Saccharomyces cerevisiae S288C: one gene and its partners. The gene in region 1 interacts genetically with each later gene. Each region holds a gene or a part of one and is shown in the gene's direction. Other genes may lie near its edges.

Region 1 (5,839 bases):
GAGTGATTTTTTTTACAGTAACTCTCGATACGCCAAGGTTGGAGGTATTTCTTTGCAAGAGTTAAACCATTTAGAATTACAATTCCTGATACTATGTGATTTCAAGTTATTGGTTTCAGTCGAAGAAATGCAGAAATATGCAAACTTGTTATATAAATTCTGGAACGACCAGTAGAATGCTGTCCTGCATATTATTCATGCCCTTCCCTTACCGTTACTCGTATTATACATATCAATTTCTGATTTACGTAACGCGTACATATCGGTTATATTTAAATAATTTAATATTCCTTTTAAATCAGTGGTTTTTCATATTAGTAGCATTTCTCCTGAAATGATAGCTATTGCAATAGAATGAAAAAAAAAACTTTTTGCCCAAATAAATCATAATCTACCGGTAAAGAGAAATTCGGTCCTTGTTCTATTCAGTATTATGCTTTCTCTTTTTTTTCCAAAATGAGAATTAAGGACGTTTCGAAAAAGTAAAAATATACCAAATGTGGAATATAAATAGGTTTATCGGCGGACCGATCTGGCTTAAAACGTAGAATCTACCAGTCCAATGTACTTTGATGAAGAACAATTGCTAAAATATACTATATATGCCTATAGATTATCCTTTTTTGTAGGCATTTGCTCACTTTTCATAGCAAAAAGTTGTCTACCAGAATTTCTTCAATATGGTAAAACCTACCGGCCCAAAGAGAATTCAAAGTACTCAAGCATTTTAGAACGAATCAAGAAGTTCACAGTTCCAAAGGCGTATTTTTCCCATTTTTACTATTTGGCTACCTTTCTATCCTTAGTCACCTTATATTTCTATCCTAAATTCCCCATCGTTTGGATCATATTTGGACACTCATTGCGCCGACTTTATGAAACGCTTTATGTACTACATTATACAAGCAATTCTAGGATGAATTGGTCCCATTATCTAGTCGGTATATGGTTCTATTCCGTACTCTTGTTAATTCTTAATATATCACTGTACAAGAACTCCATTCCAAATACGTTAAACATGAATGCTTTCATCATATTCTGCATAGCATCTTGGGATCAGTACAAAAATCATGTTATTCTGGCCAATCTGGTTAAATATTCGCTGCCAACAGGAAGGCTTTTCAGGTTGGTATGCTGTCCTCATTATCTCGATGAAATAATCATTTATTCTACTCTGTTGCCCTATGAACAAGAATTTTACCTAACACTAGTTTGGGTAATCACAAGTTTGACTATATCCGCATTGGAAACAAAAAATTATTACAGGCACAAATTTAAAGACAATCACGTAGCCCCCTACGCCATAATACCTTTTATAATCTAGTAATGTGCACACTAGGGCATTCATATACATATATATATAGACGCGGTAAAGAACCACTTTACTTTCACTATTATCACTTTACCACTAATTAGACAGCAAAGGCTCGTATACGTGTCATTAAAAACGAAGGTAAGGCCATACCTTTTTGAGGCAGTTGGAAAGAGTAAATACTGGCACAGTGGCTAAGACCTATCACTGCCAAACAAAAGGTTAGACATCTTGGGAATTTCGGACACATTCGTTACTTAAAACGAGGACCAAAATTACTCAATACCTATTTTTTATTTAATATTTTAGGCATTGTTTCACCTGAATTTGCTGCTATTAGAAGCCTGATCTACGCAATAAAAGATTTCATCTGGATTTTTGAAGCTTATACAGTACTCAACAATCAGCTTATTAACAGCAATATACCGTTAAGCAATTGAGAAAAAGTAACAATCAGAGCACTTGTGTGGCATAACGTTAATCTGAAAAAGAAAGGGGTATCAGTGTGCACGGAAAACTTCAGAGACAAATGCCTAACCCTCCTTCATTTAAGTCACATAAGCAGAATTTATTCAACTCCAACAATAATCAACACGCAAACAGTGTAGATTCTTTTGACTTACATCTCGACGATTCATTTGACGCTGCTTTAGACAGTTTACAAATTAATAATAACCCAGAACCACTTAGTAAGCATAACACTGTTGGAGATAGGGAAAGTTTTGAAATGAGAACAGTAGATGATTTAGACAATTTTTCTAACCATTCTTCGGATTCGCATCGTAAGTCTTCAAACACAGATACCCATCCTTTGATGTATGATAATCGCCTCTCGCAGGATGATAATTTCAAATTTACTAATATTGCTTCGTCACCACCGTCGTCTTCAAACAATATTTTTTCAAAAGCCCTCTCATATTTAAAAGTATCTAACACAAAAAACTGGTCCAAGTTTGGTTCACCCATAGAACTCAGTGATCAACACATCGAAAGAGAAATACATCCAGACACGACTCCTGTGTACGATAGGAATAGATACGTTTCGAATGAACTATCTAATGCCAAATATAATGCCGTTACTTTTGTGCCAACCCTATTATATGAACAGTTCAAATTCTTTTACAATTTATACTTTTTAGTAGTTGCATTATCGCAGGCCGTTCCTGCACTAAGAATAGGGTATTTATCATCGTATATTGTACCTTTAGCATTTGTGCTGACAGTAACCATGGCAAAGGAAGCTATAGATGATATTCAGAGAAGGAGACGTGATAGAGAGTCAAACAATGAACTGTATCATGTAATAACGAGAAATCGTTCCATACCAAGCAAAGACTTAAAAGTTGGAGATCTCATAAAAGTCCATAAAGGTGATCGTATTCCCGCTGATTTGGTTCTTTTACAATCAAGTGAACCATCAGGCGAGTCATTTATCAAAACTGACCAACTAGATGGGGAGACTGACTGGAAACTACGTGTTGCCTGTCCCTTGACCCAAAATCTATCTGAAAATGACTTAATTAACAGAATTAGTATAACAGCCTCTGCTCCTGAGAAATCTATTCATAAATTTTTAGGTAAAGTTACCTATAAGGATTCCACTTCAAACCCTTTGTCTGTAGATAATACTCTATGGGCGAATACTGTTCTAGCTTCCAGTGGATTTTGTATTGCTTGTGTCGTCTACACTGGCAGAGATACTAGGCAAGCTATGAATACAACTACAGCTAAGGTTAAAACTGGCTTATTAGAGCTAGAAATTAACAGTATTTCCAAGATTCTTTGTGCATGTGTTTTTGCCCTGTCAATTCTTTTAGTTGCATTTGCCGGTTTCCACAATGACGACTGGTACATTGACATTTTGAGGTATCTGATATTGTTTTCTACCATCATCCCTGTCTCTTTAAGAGTTAATTTAGATTTAGCCAAAAGTGTTTATGCACATCAGATCGAACACGATAAAACCATTCCTGAAACAATTGTTAGAACGAGTACAATTCCAGAGGATTTAGGCCGTATTGAATACCTTCTAAGCGACAAAACAGGGACGCTTACTCAGAATGATATGCAATTGAAGAAAATACACTTGGGTACTGTATCATACACGTCGGAAACATTAGACATTGTATCCGACTATGTACAATCTCTGGTGAGCTCTAAAAATGACTCTTTGAACAATTCTAAAGTTGCCTTATCAACAACAAGAAAGGATATGTCTTTTCGTGTACGTGATATGATTTTAACTCTAGCAATTTGCCATAACGTTACTCCCACTTTTGAGGATGACGAACTTACATATCAAGCGGCATCACCTGATGAAATTGCTATTGTTAAATTTACCGAGTCGGTTGGCTTATCTCTTTTCAAAAGAGATCGCCATTCAATTTCTTTATTACACGAACATTCTGGTAAGACTTTAAATTACGAAATTTTACAAGTATTCCCATTTAATTCTGATTCTAAGCGTATGGGTATCATTGTTCGTGATGAGCAATTGGATGAATATTGGTTTATGCAAAAAGGGGCCGATACTGTCATGTCAAAAATTGTGGAAAGCAATGATTGGCTAGAGGAAGAAACAGGTAATATGGCTCGTGAAGGTCTACGTACTTTGGTTATCGGTCGTAAAAAATTAAACAAGAAAATTTACGAGCAATTTCAAAAAGAATACAACGATGCCTCTTTGTCAATGCTAAATCGTGATCAACAGATGAGTCAAGTTATCACCAAGTATTTAGAGCATGATCTTGAATTATTGGGTCTAACTGGTGTAGAAGATAAGTTACAGAAGGATGTGAAGTCCTCTATCGAGTTATTAAGAAACGCAGGTATCAAGATTTGGATGCTGACAGGTGATAAAGTTGAAACTGCTCGTTGTGTTTCCATAAGTGCAAAATTAATATCTCGTGGCCAATATGTTCATACGATAACAAAAGTCACAAGACCGGAAGGTGCATTCAATCAGCTGGAGTATCTAAAAATCAATAGAAATGCTTGTCTTTTAATAGATGGTGAATCCCTGGGAATGTTTTTGAAACATTACGAACAGGAATTTTTTGATGTCGTGGTTCATTTACCCACTGTTATTGCTTGCCGTTGTACACCTCAACAGAAGGCAGACGTTGCTTTGGTAATTCGTAAAATGACGGGCAAAAGGGTATGCTGTATTGGTGATGGAGGTAACGATGTTAGTATGATTCAATGTGCAGATGTTGGCGTAGGGATTGTGGGTAAAGAAGGTAAACAAGCTTCTTTAGCTGCTGATTTTTCTATAACGCAATTTTGTCACCTCACCGAATTACTATTATGGCATGGTAGGAACTCTTACAAAAGATCTGCTAAATTGGCTCAATTTGTCATGCATAGAGGTTTAATCATTGCAATTTGCCAAGCGGTATATTCCATCTGTTCGTTGTTCGAACCTATTGCTCTTTATCAAGGTTGGTTAATGGTCGGTTATGCTACCTGCTATACAATGGCTCCAGTCTTTTCATTAACTCTTGATCACGATATCGAAGAGTCATTGACTAAAATATACCCAGAATTGTACAAAGAATTGACTGAAGGTAAGAGCTTATCATATAAGACGTTCTTTGTTTGGGTTCTATTATCGCTATTCCAAGGTTCTGTAATTCAATTATTTTCTCAGGCCTTTACGAGTTTATTAGATACTGATTTCACAAGGATGGTTGCTATCAGCTTCACTGCTTTGGTTGTAAATGAATTAATAATGGTTGCCTTAGAAATCTACACATGGAATAAAACAATGCTCGTCACTGAAATTGCTACTTTACTATTTTACATTGTATCGGTTCCATTTCTTGGCGATTATTTTGATTTAGGTTATATGACTACCGTAAATTACTATGCTGGACTTTTAGTTATATTACTCATCTCGATCTTTCCTGTCTGGACGGCAAAGGCAATTTATAGAAGGCTACATCCTCCAAGTTATGCAAAAGTGCAAGAGTTTGCCACTCCATAATTCAATTGGTTTGGATTTTTCTTGTTGCTTCAACGGATTATCTTAAAAAAATCTATCATATTTCAAAATATAAATTCTTATTTTTACAAAGAAGATATAGATTATGCATAATATTATTTTGTTACATTTTTTTTCTTTTACTTTTTATTTTCTTTTCTTTGTACTTCCTCAAATAAGCATCTTTAGCAGGTTAACAATAGCAAATATCATGTCCAGCCCAAATCACATAATACTTTCCACTTCACTTTCACTATCTGTTTCGGGAGACCTATCATCCACGGTATTGACAGTTGGTCTTTGGAAATCAGTTGCATGTGCCCAAGGAATGGATCTCGAAATGTTCTCAAACACGGAGGACCTTCTTCTGAAAGTCCCACGGTAAGCGGGCATAGGTTCGGCAAAACTGTGAGGATTATTGTCATGTGAAGGCGTGATAGGTATGTCGTTAAGTGATGAAAAGGCTTTTGAACCCAAATCACTACTATCCATAGAATCATCACCGACCTGCGCAATTGGATAAGGCAGAGGAGCGTCACCGGTAA
Region 2 (4,264 bases), on another chromosome or scaffold:
CTTTTCGGATATCTTAGCCTTGGCCTGAAAATCATAGTTGATCCAGTCCCGTAACTCCGGATCATCGGATTCAAAAATGTCGTAATCCTTTGTAAATAGTTTCCATAATGACCCAAGCGTAACGCCTTTTTGACTGATAAAGCTTTTAGTGTGTCTAAACAAATTTGGGACTGTCCAATACAATTCGGGGATGATGATCGTAAATCCATATTTCTTATTAGTTCGGAGCATCTCCAAAAAGGGATCGTAGGTAATATCACAGAAAAACTCAACATCGGGTTCCAATCTCCAATACCATTCGTACTTCTGTACTAGCGGGTGCTTGTAAAATAATCCTGAATAAAACCGGCACATCTTATGATATGATTCTAAGTTTCCGTAAAGTATGCTTCTATCACCTTGATCCTCAATTGCGTTGTAGAACTCGAACGTATCCTTTACGTCACTGGGAAAATTCCAAGATATCTCATCGATAGTGCCAAATTCCACCAGCGCGCCCACTGTAACATCACGTACTTTTGCTTTGAAGTCCTCTTCAAACGGCTGGTCATTTAAGAACACATATGGATAGTGGAACCACTGATTGAAATGCTCTTCTATACTGTTGATAGTCTTGATAACATCTTCTAGCTCCCCGTTCCTTGTTAGCATGACAAACGAGGCATTCTGCTTGATGTACGATGGATTCAACAAATAGTCCTGAGTATTCACACAATTCGAATAAAAGGGTCTGTCCCTCTTCGTCGCAAGATCCATCTTGGAAAACGGAAGAAAATTTCCCATAGTTCCGTCTACGGATGCAGGCTCAGATACAAGTACCACATACATGGTTATGACGAAGGCAATCAGGATGCACGTCGCCGTAAGATTGCAATGGATACATCCCAGAAATGCATTTATCGTCCTTCTTATTAGCAACATCTGCTACCTTATGACGATGTGCCGTATTGAGACACATTTATTGATGACACCTCCATTGAACAAGACTATTTGTGCACGGAAGCACTCATATCTACTACTTCGCATTTTTTTGAAGACCCTTTCTCGAATGCCTGCCCAAATTTTTCAATTTTCTTGGCATCATCCACACACCGCATGCTTAAAGTGTACTATCCAAAAAATGAGAGAAAAAGCAAATACCTAAAAGCACCCCACCTCTTCCATATCCCACGTAATGGCAATTGGCATATATGCTCGGCAAGGGAAATTACTGGTCGTAATATAGTGCAACATGCAACTTGCCAGGCGCACTATAGTCACATCTTATTATGTTAGCAGTTGAGCTCCAGCTTTGACTGCACTTTAGCTTAGTTGCAACTTCGCCCCTCTGTTGGGGGCTGAAAAGTACATCCGCGCATTTAACAATTGCTAAGCTATCTTGAATAACATTATACTAATTAATATCTATAGAAGCAGAATGTCTACTACGTCGAGGACCCTACCCCTGTATTTGTGCCTTGCATGAGCGAGCTATATATCAGCGATACGTTTTTTTGTTTTCCTTTCGACCTTCTTGCCTACCCTCTCACTTTTCCCACCTGAATTTTTTTTATCATATTAGTCCGATATTGAGTTTATAAACCTTGTGAAGTGCTAGATAAAGTACAATCAAAAGAGCAGGCAATAGCCATCACAGCAGTTTAGTACGATTATACACTCTGAACGCGAGTAAAACTAGGTTGTATTTTTAGTCTCGATTGGAAGTTTCGTCAGACAGTACAAGGAAGATGTCATTCAGCAACGGAAATATGGCTTCCTACATGACTAGTAGTAATGGAGAGGAGCAAAGTATAAACAACAAAAACGATATAGACGATAACAGCGCTTACAGACGTAATAATTTCAGGAATAGTAGCAATTCAGGATCACATACGTTCCAATTATCGGACTTGGACTTAGATGTGGATATGAGGATGGATTCCGCCAATTCATCGGAGAAAATATCAAAGAACCTTTCCTCTGGCATCCCGGACTCATTTGATTCTAACGTGAACAGCTTGCTGTCTCCGTCAAGCGGTTCTTATTCTGCAGATTTGAATTACCAAAGTCTATACAAACCAGATCTTCCACAGCAACAGTTACAACAGCAACAGTTACAACAGCAACAGCAACAGCAACAGCAACAACAACAGCAACAGCAGAAGCAAACACCAACTTTAAAAGTCGAACAATCTGATACATTTCAGTGGGACGATATCTTAACACCTGCTGATAATCAACATCGGCCATCCCTCACAAACCAGTTTTTATCTCCAAGATCTAATTACGATGGTACCACTAGGAGCTCGGGCATTGACTCCAATTATAGCGATACAGAATCAAACTATCATACGCCTTATTTGTATCCACAGGACTTAGTTTCTTCACCTGCGATGTCTCACTTAACCGCGAATAACGATGATTTTGACGATCTTTTGAGCGTCGCATCTATGAACTCAAATTATTTACTGCCCGTAAATTCACATGGTTATAAACATATTTCAAACCTTGATGAGTTGGATGACTTGCTATCTTTAACATATTCAGACAATAACCTTTTATCAGCATCAAACAACAGTGATTTCAACAACAGTAATAACGGAATTATTAATACCGCTGACACTCAAAACAGTACCATTGCCATTAATAAAAGTAAAGTCGGTACTAACCAAAAGATGTTATTGACTATTCCAACTTCTTCCACACCTTCTCCTTCCACTCATGCTGCCCCGGTAACACCCATCATTTCTATACAGGAATTCAATGAGGGACACTTCCCAGTTAAAAACGAAGATGACGGAACGTTACAACTAAAAGTTCGGGATAACGAAAGTTATAGCGCTACTAACAATAACAATCTACTTCGTCCAGATGATAATGATTACAACAACGAAGCTCTCAGTGATATTGACCGCTCCTTCGAAGATATCATTAACGGTCGAAAATTGAAACTTAAAAAATCAAGAAGAAGATCTTCTCAAACTTCCAATAATAGTTTCACTAGCAGGAGATCCTCGAGATCAAGAAGCATATCTCCCGATGAAAAAGCTAAATCTATAAGTGCAAATAGGGAAAAGTTATTGGAGATGGCAGATCTTTTACCATCCAGTGAAAATGACAATAATCGGGAGCGCTATGACAATGATAGCAAAACTAGCTATAACACCATTAACAGTAGCAATTTTAATGAGGATAATAATAATAACAATTTGTTAACAAGTAAACCAAAAATTGAATCGGGCATTGTCAATATTAAAAATGAACTAGATGACACTAGCAAAGATCTTGGCATACTTCTAGACATAGATAGCTTGGGCCAATTTGAGCAGAAAGTTGGTTTCAAAAATGATGATAATCACGAAAATAACGATAATGGCACATTTTCTGTTAAGAAAAATGACAATCTAGAAAAACTAGACAGTGTAACAAATAATAGGAAAAATCCTGCGAATTTTGCTTGTGATGTATGTGGTAAGAAGTTTACAAGACCTTATAACTTAAAGTCACACTTAAGAACGCATACAAATGAAAGGCCATTTATTTGTTCTATTTGTGGTAAGGCGTTTGCACGTCAACATGATAGAAAGAGACACGAAGATTTGCATACAGGTAAGAAAAGGTATGTATGCGGTGGTAAGCTGAAGGACGGTAAACCCTGGGGTTGTGGCAAAAAGTTTGCAAGAAGTGATGCTCTTGGTAGGCATTTTAAAACTGAAAGTGGTAGAAGATGCATCACTCCCTTGTACGAAGAAGCCAGACAGGAGAAATCGGGACAAGAGAGTTAATTATTTTTGTTTTTTTAAGCTTTGAATAGGAATTTTTTTTTTCTATATAATAAATATGTAATTTCATAATGACAGTGTAGAAATTATGGCTAATCTAATCCATGCAAAGGTATTATTTGGTTATTGTTTTTGTAATGAAATAGTATAAAACAGTGATATTCTTACGGATTAATAGTTTTTACGCCCGTCTGAATTTTCTAAGCTGCCGAAAATAATGGCAAGTAACAAAAAGTTATTGTATGAGGATGCGTTTTACGTGGCAAAAGTTTTGATGCCAAATAGACAAAAGTAGCTCAATTCAACATGACCTCATCATCTGGTGTTGATAATGAGATTTCCTTAGACAGCCCGATGCCAATTTTCAATGAGAGTTCTACTTTAAAGCCAATTAGGGTTGCGGGTGTAGTAACAACAGGGACAGATCATATCGACCCTAGCGTACTACAGGCATACTTAGATGATACTATTATGAAATCCATTACTTTGGGGCAGCTAGTGAA
Region 3 (3,291 bases), on another chromosome or scaffold:
TCATACTTTCTTGTTTAGCCTTATCTAGTAAATCTTTAACCCTTGTTTCAATATGATTCAAAAACTCTTCCTTCACCTCACCGGATTTAATCAACTCGTAGTTAAACGGATCAGAGATTTCTGAAACTTCATTTTCCACATCGCCACTTTCGTCAATCACCGAATCAATCATGCTTGAATCAATTTGTAATTTAGCACCTTTATTACTTTTTAAGTTGAAAAAATTCTCTTCCAGTAACTTGTAATCGGTAAAGATATTGGCAAAATTTTCCGGCGTTACTTCGATAGGGAATCTATCCTTGAAGAAGTTTTTCGGATATCTGAAATCTTTGTCTACAAGCTTTTTATACTCTAAACCACAGTATATGAGAGATAGTACAATGAACGTATAACCGTCGCACAATAAAGAAACTGGCTGGGTGACAGCTTGGACCATAAAATTTCTTGATTCTTGAAGAATTTTTGGAAAAGCTTTTTTAAAGTTTTCTGGCAGATTGTGATCCCTGTTGAATCTATAATAGCCACTGAACACTTCTTCAATCAATTCTTTTGGATTACTGATATTTAAGTCAAAGCCAAATAAACATAGTATTTTTTTTTCATTCGTCACTAACTTATCTCTAAATTCCCATTTAAGTTTATCAATATTTGTTCGACTTTTTAAAGACGGTATATTTTGCATCAAAAACTCACAAGTCGCCTTAATATAGGCCTCTATAGGCCTATTATTCTCCATTGTTTTGCAAGCGGTGACCAGAATTCCCTGTGATATATGAATACATTCAGTTATGGCTGTAGGTATTCCATATATGAACCAATACCTGTAAAATAGAATGCATGATGCCGTATAGGTGTGATCAAAAAGATTTAATTTTTTTTTAAGTGTGTAAAAGTACATTAAGCATTTTTCCATATTTTTTTTTATTTCCACTGCTATCGGTCCATTAGTGCCTATCTTTTCAATAATATCTTTGCACTCAAAAACCCACTGGTTTTCTGGTGTTTCTATCAAATCCGGCCATAGGGTCCTTGCGTTAAACCCACTCGATGCTGGTGGTGGTGATGCATTGCTCGTTGGTTTTGGTACAGCTTGAAATTTTTTCACGTCACCACTTGAAGATGTAGCAGACATTATCTTACTGTAATATATTTTAAACGAAAATACTACGGCCTCCTTCAATATGTGTATATAATTACCAATCAAAATAGCTACTTGCTTTCTAACAGAAATAGTGATACTTTTTAATCACTTTTCTTTTTTTACTGAACAGTGAAAAATAGAAGTCACAATGAGACCTAGGTCAAAAAGCCATAATGAATAGGGTTTGCAATAAAAAAGCTTTAAACGATAGGTCTGTTAAAGAGGATAAATAGGTTTATCATGTATCATTTGGTTTTTTGGGATAGGGCTTGGCAAAAACCATAACAGGGGAATGAGATTTTATATATAAATAGACAAGATAGATACTAAAATAGTGACGGATTCTCTCTAAATATTCGAGAAATTTTCAAAATTTTAGGGCAACGAACAGTTTAATTAACATAAAAATCATAGAGCAAAGAAAAAATGGCGGTTGCGATCAAAAAGGAGAAGACGAAATTTGCCCCCGTTAAGGAAGTTTTATCCGAGAAGGATCATGCTAATTATACTAAATTTCAGGATACATCGAAACTAGAATGGTTTTGCAGGACGTCAAATCACAAAAAGTTCAAGTCACATAGTTTATTAAAAGCAGTAAGAAATCCAACGGAAACAAGAATAGAGACACAAACTCTGTATTTTACGGATCTCACCAACGGCAAATGTGGATTAATTCAACTATTATATTCCAGTGTTATGGGCGGTATATACAAAGGTTTTCAGTTAAATTTCAAAATATTTAAAGCCAGCAGTGAGGAAAACTCTGAAGAAGACATTGATATATGGGAAAGCTTTAAAATTGATAATATCAAAGATTTTGATACGTTAAAAGTTGAATCGGACAATGTTACGTTTCACTTCGTACCTTTGGAAAATTCTTCCTCCAGTGGATTTGCTCAATTATTAATTAAGATAGATATTCCGAAGGGAAGTACAAGCTGTTTACTAAAAGATTTGAAGGTTGACATTACCGTAAATTTACAAGAAGGATTCATAATAAACCCGGACGGTTCCAATTATTACCTTGACAAGAGCATCAGCTTGGAAGAGTTAGCAAAAAGAGACTCTTCTAGTACGTCCAGAAAAATGATAAGACATGTTTTTGTTCCTAGAGGTTTTTGCAATGGTACCATCTCATACAAGAAAAACGATAAACCTGTGAAGCTGGACTTGAAGGACACGCCTATGTTGTATCTGGATGCTGTCCAGGGGCTAATACCCAATAAGGCGGCTAGTAAATGGAATTTTCTTTGTTTCAATGGTGAGAAGCGTTCGATGATGTGTATTGAATTCACCACAACAAAAGAATATGGCAGCACTACAGTGACTATATGGGCGGTTAGTGATAAGGACAAAATTTTGGAGGTCGGGTCAAGTGTAAATGATCATGCTGTTAAATTTCCATCTACAAAAGAGGATAAGCAAAATGGTTGGAAATATCCTACATCCATTTCATTTCCGCGTGGTTTTGAAGAATCTAATTTAAGATTAGTCAATAGGTACGATATAATGAGTGAGCTGCCCGCTTTCATTAGGTCTATTGCTGAAAATCTGGCAAACATGAAGCCATTCATTTACCAATTCTGCCAGAAGTCTAAATTCGATGACGATGAAGGAGTTTCCATCATTGAAAGTACATTTATCAATTGAAAAAAATGAAATTTGACTATACATATTTTCATCATTGCAAGAATATTATATCCATTTATAAGTAGGTAGGTGCATAGACGTATATACACATATATTATAGACTAATTGATAAATTTTTTTTTCATCTTCGAAGATAAGGGGTATTCCAGTTGGGCAATGCTATTTCTTGACCAAGATCTTGCTTTTGTTCCGGATGCTTGTAGACGAAAATTCTTATCAATTTGGATGGCTTGTAAGGTAAACCGTGCCCAATTATCGTGTCTCTAGGAAATGAAATTTTCTCTTCAGATTGTAAGCAGGCCAAACTCCATGCAAACTGGTATGAAAAAGAACATTCACTATAGTTGAAGATTGCTTCAATGCTATTTACGGGTTCGATTCTAAAGAGTAACCACGGCTTCGATATCTGATATGGAATAAAGTCATAACCGAGTAGAACTAAATCACCATTGATACAAACATCTGAATCTGTCCTGTCGATAGCTTTCAGTTCCAGGGGA

The links.
Region 2: mutations in NEO1 (region 1) and CRZ1 together harm fitness more than expected from each alone (negative genetic interaction), as found in Saccharomyces cerevisiae (2 studies listed by BioGRID).
Region 3: mutations in NEO1 (region 1) and YLR225C together harm fitness more than expected from each alone (negative genetic interaction), as found in Saccharomyces cerevisiae (2 studies listed by BioGRID).

What each region holds. Positions count from the first base shown.
Region 1 is NC_001141.2:259,596-265,434, forward strand, and holds NEO1 (aminophospholipid-translocating P4-type ATPase NEO1), read left to right. Parts: upstream 1-1,841; coding exon 1,842-5,297; downstream 5,298-5,839. Other genes in the region: PCL7 (Pcl7p), read left to right, coding at 1-175; DFG10 (putative polyprenol reductase), read left to right, coding at 563-1,324; SYG1 (Syg1p), read right to left, coding at 5,520-5,839. UniProt on the Saccharomyces cerevisiae protein: Flippase that catalyzes the hydrolysis of ATP coupled to the transport of lysophosphatidylserine, phosphatidylethanolamine, and phosphatidylserine from the lumenal to the cytosolic leaflet of the Golgi apparatus membrane and ensures the maintenance of asymmetric distribution of phospholipids.
Region 2 is NC_001146.8:577,853-582,116, forward strand, and holds CRZ1 (DNA-binding transcription factor CRZ1), read left to right. Parts: upstream 1-1,727; coding exon 1,728-3,764; downstream 3,765-4,264. Other genes in the region: KTR5 (putative mannosyltransferase), read right to left, coding at 1-921; SAM complex subunit SAM50, read left to right, coding at 4,068-4,264. UniProt on the Saccharomyces cerevisiae protein: Involved in the regulation of calcium ion homeostasis. Binds to the calcineurin-dependent response element. Transcriptionally regulates PMC1, PMR1, PMR2A and FKS2.
Region 3 is NC_001144.5:587,195-590,485, reverse strand, and holds YLR225C (uncharacterized protein), read left to right. Parts: upstream 1-1,567; coding exon 1,568-2,791; downstream 2,792-3,291. Other genes in the region: BUR2 (Bur2p), read right to left, coding at 1-1,132; UCC1 (Ucc1p), read right to left, coding at 2,913-3,291.